2 linked regions of the Canis lupus familiaris genome follow. The protein of the gene in region 2 purifies or fractionates together with the protein of the main gene of each other region. This does not show direct contact. Links are inferred from orthologs where the notes say so. Each region holds a gene or a part of one and is shown on either strand. Other genes may lie near its edges.

Evidence for each region.
Region 1: the proteins of ZNF687 (region 2) and ZMYND8 purify together in Homo sapiens (affinity purification with mass spectrometry; 4 studies listed by BioGRID and IntAct, with this or other methods). This does not show direct contact. The link is inferred for Canis lupus familiaris from reciprocal best matches to the Homo sapiens genes ZNF687 and ZMYND8.

What each region holds. Positions count from the first base shown.
Region 1 is NC_049245.1:35,085,278-35,089,661, forward strand, and holds the start of ZMYND8 (protein kinase C-binding protein 1), read right to left. Parts: upstream 2,905-4,384; 5' UTR 2,764-2,904; intron 1-2,763. UniProt on the Homo sapiens protein: Chromatin reader that recognizes dual histone modifications such as histone H3.1 dimethylated at 'Lys-36' and histone H4 acetylated at 'Lys-16' (H3.1K36me2-H4K16ac) and histone H3 methylated at 'Lys-4' and histone H4 acetylated at 'Lys-14' (H3K4me1-H3K14ac).
Region 2 is NC_049238.1:61,012,273-61,015,608, reverse strand, and holds part of ZNF687 (zinc finger protein 687), read right to left. Parts: intron 3,113-3,336; 5' UTR 3,096-3,112; coding exon 990-3,095; intron 844-989; coding exon 665-843; intron 368-664; coding exon 191-367; intron 103-190; coding exon 1-102. UniProt on the Homo sapiens protein: May be involved in transcriptional regulation.

The sequences.
Region 1 (4,384 bases), on a different chromosome or scaffold from region 2:
CATTCAAGGTGTGACCTTGTGCAGGTAACTTAACCTCTCTGGGCCCGGGCAGCCCGGGTGGCTCAGCGGTTTAGCAGCGCCTTCAGCCCAGGGCGTGATCCTAGAGTCCCAGGATCGAGTCCCGCATCGGGCTCCCCGCATGGTGGAGCCTGTTTCTCCCTCTGCCTGTGTCTCTGCCTCTCTCTCTCTCTCTCTCTCTCTTGTGAATAAATGGGTGAAATCTTTGGGGGGAAAAGAAATCTCTCTGGGCCAATAAAATGTGGATACCACCACATAGTGTCATAGAATTTAGAGAATCATATTAGTTCCCGTAGTAAAAGAGGTTATTTAGCAGTGTTTGGTACCACTGTTGTTCTCAGGTTACTCCTACTCATCCTTCAAAACCCAGTTCAAAATTCATTCCTTCAGGGTAGGCTTTGTGGACTCCCCAACAAATCAGACACACCCACCCTATTATGTCTTGCCCCCATGGTTCTTATGGCAATCATAATTTAATACCTACTACATACTTAACAACTGGGTATAACTTTATCTGATTCCTAATTGAGTGTCTATTTTGTCCAATTCTGTATCTCTCCAGCACATAGCAGGTGCTCAGAAGTAATTTGGTGAATGTTGAACAGGAAATGGCTGAATGAGTCAATTGCAAGGATGCCCAGATCTCTAATTTTCAAGTGAAAGCATTGGGAAAGTCGAGCTTTAATGAGGACACAAGAAGACTGAAGCTTGGTGGGGGTACTGGGTTATATAAGGAGCTACAGTGATGGGCAAGTCAGGTGAAACTGGGCGTGGCCCAGAGGAGCTGCCCCACAGGCCCAGCTCAGCCTAAACTACGGGGCGTACACAGGAGCAGCTCCAACACTAGAGCTGCTGAGGACCTAAGCCCAAAATTCCTAAGCCAAAGCCCACTGGCTGATGTGGTGGGTTACCCTGGGACAGATGGCTGCAGAAACCACCTGGCTTCTGGGCCCTCCCTCCCCTACCTGTTCTCACTGCTCTTACCCACCCCTTTGGCACACCAGCCCCAGGAACGGGCTCACTCTGATGCCTCAGGCCTCCCCCAGCCTGACATCAGAACCTCTTATAGGGTGGCCAAGCTTAGCAAATGAAAATACAGGATGCCCAGTTAAATTTGAATTTCAAATGAACAATTTTCTAGTTTAAGTATATCCTGTGTTGAGACGCCTGGATGGCTCAGTGGTTGAGTGCCTTTGGCTCAGGGTATGATTCCAGAGTCCCAGGATGGAGTCCTGCATCGGGCTCCCTGCATGGAGCCTGCTTCTCCTCCCTCTGCCTATGTTGTCTCTTTCTCTGTGTGTCTCTCATAAATAAATAAATAAAATATATTAAAATATATAAAAATTAAAAATATATATATAAAAATAAAAAACAAGTATATTCTGTGTTTAATCTGGCACCCCTAAACTCTCTGGTCTCATCAAACCCTCATCAAAGCATTTTGTACTCTCAGGTAACTGTCTGCTTTGGAGTCCTGAGCCTCTTGGAAGGGCAACTCAACCCCTCCCATCTGTTTTTGGCTCTGAATAAAGGGAATTCACGGTACTGGCCACTTAGGGTTAGTTAAAGACTCTAGCTCTTACCACCTAGTACAGATGCCATAAAGAGCCACCAGAATGGCCACTCTCCCACTCCATTTTTCTGGACACCATCTCCCGGGGCCCTCACCACAAAGCCTTCTGAGTTATGCAGCAAGGATAGCTGAACCGATTTTACAGAGGAGAAAAACCGAAGACTGTTAAATCAGAGGGAGGGCCAATAAGCAAAATCCCTGGTCTTTAGGATTCTCATGCTGAAACTCTTCTGGACTCTTCGATCAGATGTGACTGAACAGTAAACTGCAAGCTGCCAAAGGGCGGGCACTTGTCTTTGGGTTTAGGGGTGGACCCCCTAGAGCCCAGCACAGTGCCTGGCCCTTAGGAGGCACTGCATAAATATTTATGGAATGAGTGACTAGAACCCACCAGAGTCCCCATGACATAAGAGGGTGAATGGTCTTGTGTGCTCTCCCTGTCTCCCTCTTACTCCCTCCTTGTTCTGGGTCTTGAACTCAGGTCTGCCTTCCAGAGCTTTCTCCATAGCACCAACTATGGGGGGGTGGGAGGGGAAGTGCAGGAGAGGGGATGGTTAAGCTTAAAAGGGTTTTGGGCTTTTCTTCCGAAATGAAGCAAAATAACAAAATGTAGCTTTGGAAGGCAAGAAACATGACCGTGGAATGTCAAAGCAGCCATGCTGGTTGTTTTTTTGCTGGGAAGAAGGGATTTTGAGAACTTAATTCAACACAGTTGCTTTCGGTAGTCATTAAACACCTGCCATACCCTCCCATTTGCTGGCAAATCGCCCTGAAACAGTAAGGGAATAAATGACTTCCCAGGAGAAAAGGATTTTCTAGGGTATCTGAGGAGATGTGTTGAATCCATCCCAGAGAACCCTTTGAGAATACGGAGCTATGGGATGGACATGCTGATTAGCTCTTCTGGAGAATAGGCCACCAGGTAAACACAGACATCCACGGTACCTCCTCTTAATTGCATCCACCTAGACCTGAAGTCAGACATGAACATTGGGGTCTGACTCAGGGAATTTTTTTCTGTTTCCCATGGATGTTTTCTGGTCTCGGGGATACAAATGACAGGGCCATGAGGGGTGGTATGCAAATTTAGGGTCTGAGACCCATTTAATCAGGACTCATGGTCTTTATAATGAACCAGAAGTGACTTGGAGGCATTTTCATTGGGTTTTTACCTTTGGGGTGCTTCCTCCCATGACCAATGCCAGCCTGGTCAGGGATCTCATTCTGACCAGCAGATGTTTCTCCAGGGACTTCCCCTAAGGACATGCTCATCTGGAGAGATCCTTCAGCTTCACAGAGAGGCCTTTTCCAGAGATACCCAGCCCCACCCAGCAGTCACCCTCTATGACATCACGCTGCTGGACTGAGCGCTGAGGTTATCAACCATCAGACCACATGCTCCTCTTGATTTTTTTTTAAAGATTTTATTTATTTATTCATGAGAGACACAGAGAAAGAGAGAGGCAGAGATACAGGCAGAGGGAGAAGCAGGCTCCATGCAGGGAGCCTGACATGGGACTTGATCCCAGGACCCCAGGATCACACCCTGAGCCGAAGACAGACGCTAAACCACTGAGCCACCCAGGGATCCCCTATATGCTCCTCTTATATATTGACCTGCTGGCTCTTGGTCTCCCCAGCTAGGCCCTGAGCACCACCAAGACCAGATAGTGTCTGACTAGCTCACTCTGGATCCCCAGCCCCACAGCAGGCACGGAGGCAAAGCCTGGAAAAAGGATGGATAACAGTGATGATCTGACCGCCTGCTAATTATGTGCCAGCTTTTAGATTTTTTTCATCTATTAAGCCACTGAATCCTCACAGCATTGGAAGTCAGGTATCTCTCTCTCTCTCTTTTTTCTTTAATTAATTAATTATTTTTAAATTTTATTTTTATCATTTTTATTTTTTAAATTTATTTTTATTTTTAATTTTTACATTTTTTATTGACTTTTCTTTTTCGATTTTTTTTCAGTGAGGCAGGTATCTTGATTACAATGCTTTGCACTGGCCATTCCCTCTCCTTGCAATGCCCTTCCCTCAGATGTCCCTAGGACTCACCCCCTCTCTTCATTCAGAACTCTGCTCAAATGTCACCAACCCAGGCCTTCCCTTACCCCCTCCCTAAAGCAGCACCCTTCAACCTCATACCCTGCTGTTAGGGGGTTGAACGGTGTGTCCCCCCCCAAATGATATGTTCAACCTCCCACGCCCACCCCAGTAGCTCAGAATGGGGCCTTTTTGAAACAGGATCTTTACAGAGGTAATGAAGTTAAAATGGGGTCATGAGGGTGACCCCGATCCAATAAGACTGGTGTCTTTACATACAAATTTGGACACGGAGACAGGCACAGAAGAGGATGTGAGAAGTACAGGAAGAAGGTCTTGTGAAGACACAGCGTTGGAGTGAGGTGTCTATAAGCCAAGGAGAGTCAAAAGTGCCTATAGACCAGCAGAAGCAAGAAGGAGCCTACAAGTTTTCTCCAGCAGGTTTCAGACTAGCAGGGCCCAGCCCACAGTTTGGTTTCAGACTTCTGGCCTCTAGAACTGAGACACAATAAATAGCGGCTGTTTGTGCCCAGGTTGTGGTACTTGGTTACTATAGTCCTCGGAAAACAGTACACCTGCTTTATTTCTCTTCCTTGCTCTGATCACCACCTGCCCACTGCATGTATTTTATTCATCTATTTACTTCCGGCACCCACATGGGAACGTGAGTCTCTTAAGGCCACGGTCTCATGTTCCTGCAGCTGTTACAAGGCCTGGGGTTTATTTGTTCCTTCAAGAACAGTT
Region 2 (3,336 bases):
AAGACGCTGACACGTTGGGGCAGCAGGTGTTGGTCGAAGTGTGAGGAGAGGAGGGGTTTGTGAGTGAAGACCGTGTCACACATGGCGCACTTGTAGATCATCCTGTGTGGGCGGAGAGGACAGTGCAGACACCCTGCCCATCAGGACCCCGACCCCGTTCCAGCCCACCCTGCTCCCTCCCAGGTCTCACTTGGCCTGCTGCGTGTGGAAGCTGGGGTGCTGGGTGTAGAGGTGGGCATGGGCGCTGGGCGCAGACTTGAAGGCCATGGGGCAGATGGGGCACTTGTGGAAAACCTCGCAGTGCGACGTCTGGATGTGGGACTTGATGGAGTTCACGCCCCCGAACACCACCGCACAGCTGGGGCACCTGGGGGGCAGGGGGCGCTGAGGTGAGGCAGGGTGTCTCCAGCCTGTCCCCCGGGCCCTGCTCCTAGCCGGAGGCCTATGGAGGCCGAACCGGAGCTCTCTCCCCTCTCCACGGGAGCAGGGCAAGAGCAGACCAATCTGAGGCTGAGGGGTTCAGCAGGAGATGGGGCTCTCCCTGACAGGCCAGCTCAAAGCCTGGTGCTGGGACACACGAGGCCATAAAGTGCCAGGGGGTGGGGGGAGGAGGTGGCAGTGGGGAAACAGTCACAAGGCTCCAGGGAGGAGAGGCAGGAGGCACCTGTATCCTACACGGCGAGACAAATGTAGACAGGCCTCCCGGAGATGGGTCTGGAAATTGGCCTGTAGGAAGTTGCCCCCACACTCAGGGCAGACGTGGGGAGGCCGGTTCTTATGCATGCGCTGGTGGGCACTGAAGCTGCAGCGATTGGGAAGCATCATGGGGCAGGTTGGGCATACCTGTCAACAGGAGTGGAGACAAGGTAAGTCAGCAAGGAGAGGCCCGACCCCATGACCTCCCCTGACCGAGCCCCCAACATCTTCCCAGATCTGACTCCCAGAGCGTTGGGCTCCAGCCCCGGGGAGAGCTGGGACAGGCAACTCACAGTGCTGTTGGCCCCAGGGGCCGGGGGCCCAAGCTGCTGGAAGTGGGCGGCCATGCCTGCCTTGTCCCGGCACTGCTCCTTGCACTCTAGGCAGCGAAAGCATGTGTAAGACGAGGTGGCAGGGGCAGCAGGCGGCTCAGATGACAGTGGTAGCACAGGGGCTTCGGCGGCGACAGCAGTAATAGCGCCAGCGACAGCCGCGTCACCCTTGCCCAGGGCAGGCAAGGCTGGAGGTCCGAAGGCAGGTGGGACAGCCAGCAGGGGCGTGATGTCTGGCTGCCCCACCATCTGGTCCAGGGCGACGGGCCTCATGACCAGGTGTGAGCACTGCATGACGAGCCCTTTGTCCTTGTGCTCTCGGGCATGCAGCAGCAGACTGCATTTGTTGAAAAAGACCAGGCGGCGGGCGCAGTGGTTGCAGGTGACCTCAATGCGCATGCTCCGGCGGTCATAGTGCCGCGCCAGGCTCTTCTCCAGTGAGAAGGCGTCCCCGCACTCGAGGCAGCGGTAGCCCGTGGGAGGCAGGGCCAGCCCGGCCTCGGCGGGGGGACTCAGGTTGGGCCGGTAGGCAGGCAGCAGGTTCTTGCTATTGAGGATCTTGTTGAAGGCCTCCACCAGGCTGGACTGGGTCCGCGAGATCACCGTGCCACCCCCTGCACCTGGCCCGGTGGCCGGCTTGGAAGGCTGCACCATCACCACTGAGGCACCGTTCACCTTCTGCCCCCCAGTCCCCAGCCCTGGCCGCCCCTCCGCCTTGGGCAGGGCCTGGGGCACCAGACCTAGCACATTCTTAGCCATAGTCTTAGGGCTGGTGGCAGTGCCCCCTGGCAGAACCACAGCTTTGCGGGCCACACTGGCTGCCATCAGCATAGCAGTGCTTGCATTCTGGATGGTGGCCACAGGCAGCACGGTGCCCTTCAGCCTCGTGCCGTCACCCAGCTGGACGCTCACCACCTTTGGACCCTCGGGGGTCGGGGTTGCAGGGGATAGCTTTAGGAGGCCAGCCTCAGCCAGGAGGGTCCCCTCAGCCAAGGGGGCAGGAGGATCAGGGTCTGAGGGGACCCGGGTTACAGTCCTTGTGATATTTCCGCAGGATGTTTTAATGGTCTTGATCCGCACCTTGAGAGGCCTTGAGGAGCTGGAAGAAGCAGGGGAGTCATTGCTGTCCTCATCTGCAGCCTCAGCTCCACTAGAGGGGCTCTGGGGACTTTTTGGGGAAGGCTTGTCCACCGGCCCCTCCTCCTCTTCTTCCTTCAGGGGCTGACAACAGGGCACTTTGGGGGAGGCAGGAGGGCTCTGATGCCCTGGAGACTGCTTGAAGAAGGGCAACCCAGCAACCTGGGGAGGGGAGGCGCTGGCAGGAATACCCGTGGCCTCAGGGCTCAAGCTAGAGCCTAGCCCGGCCAGGCCCTGAGGATGAAGGGGGCTGCAGCTGTCTTGCTTCAAGGTCCCCCGTACTGGGGGAGAACCAGGTGGCAGCAAGGCTGGGCCATTCTCCCTGGACAGCTCAAAGGGAGAGGGGAAAGGAGGTGGGGTCATGGCCCCTTCCCGAGGTGGGGAAGGTGCTGGGGGAGGGAGGGGATCAGGGTGCTCCCCTGGCTCAGGCCCAAAATGAGCAAAGAGGTCCAAAGTAGCTTTGCCTTCCATAGCTTTTTCTTTCCAGGTACCCCCACTGAGAGGAGCTGGAGAGTGGGGTGTACTTGGAAGGGATGACTCAGGGCCCCCAAAACCATTTTGCATCAGACGAGGCCCCACAGGCCCTTCCTTAGTCACCCCCCCAGCCCGGGGCCCATCTCCTCCTGAAATCCCAGCTGGGGACTCAGGCTGCTCAGGACACACAGTGTTCTTGACGATGACACTGACTGCCGAGATGTCTGGCGGTGGCAGGCCGTGATCAGAGGCCTGGGCTGGCACCTCAGGGCTGTCCCTGGCAGCTGCTGCCGGTGCTTCTCCAGAGTCACCTCCTATACTAGGATCCGGCTTTCCTGAGCCTCCAGGCCCTTCGTTTTCTTCTGGCCCAGAGTGGATGGCTTCATTGGCATCGATGTCAGGGATGTCAAAGGCAGCAAGGAGATCATCGAAATCAGGAGTCTTCATATCCCCCATGGCAGCAGGTCCCAGACCTGATGAAAACAGAAAAAAGAGTAAGAAATTGAGCCCTCTGAGGGCAGGAACCCTGGCCCTCCTCCCTCAGGATCTCCATATTTATCCTCTTGGGACCATGCGCAATCTCCTTGGGTACACTTTTACCACATCACAAATCCTAGAGCTGGTGGGGGCACCTGGTTTGCCAAACCCTAAAATTGAAAGGTAGGTTATGTGCACATTCCAGGGAAGACACCGAGAT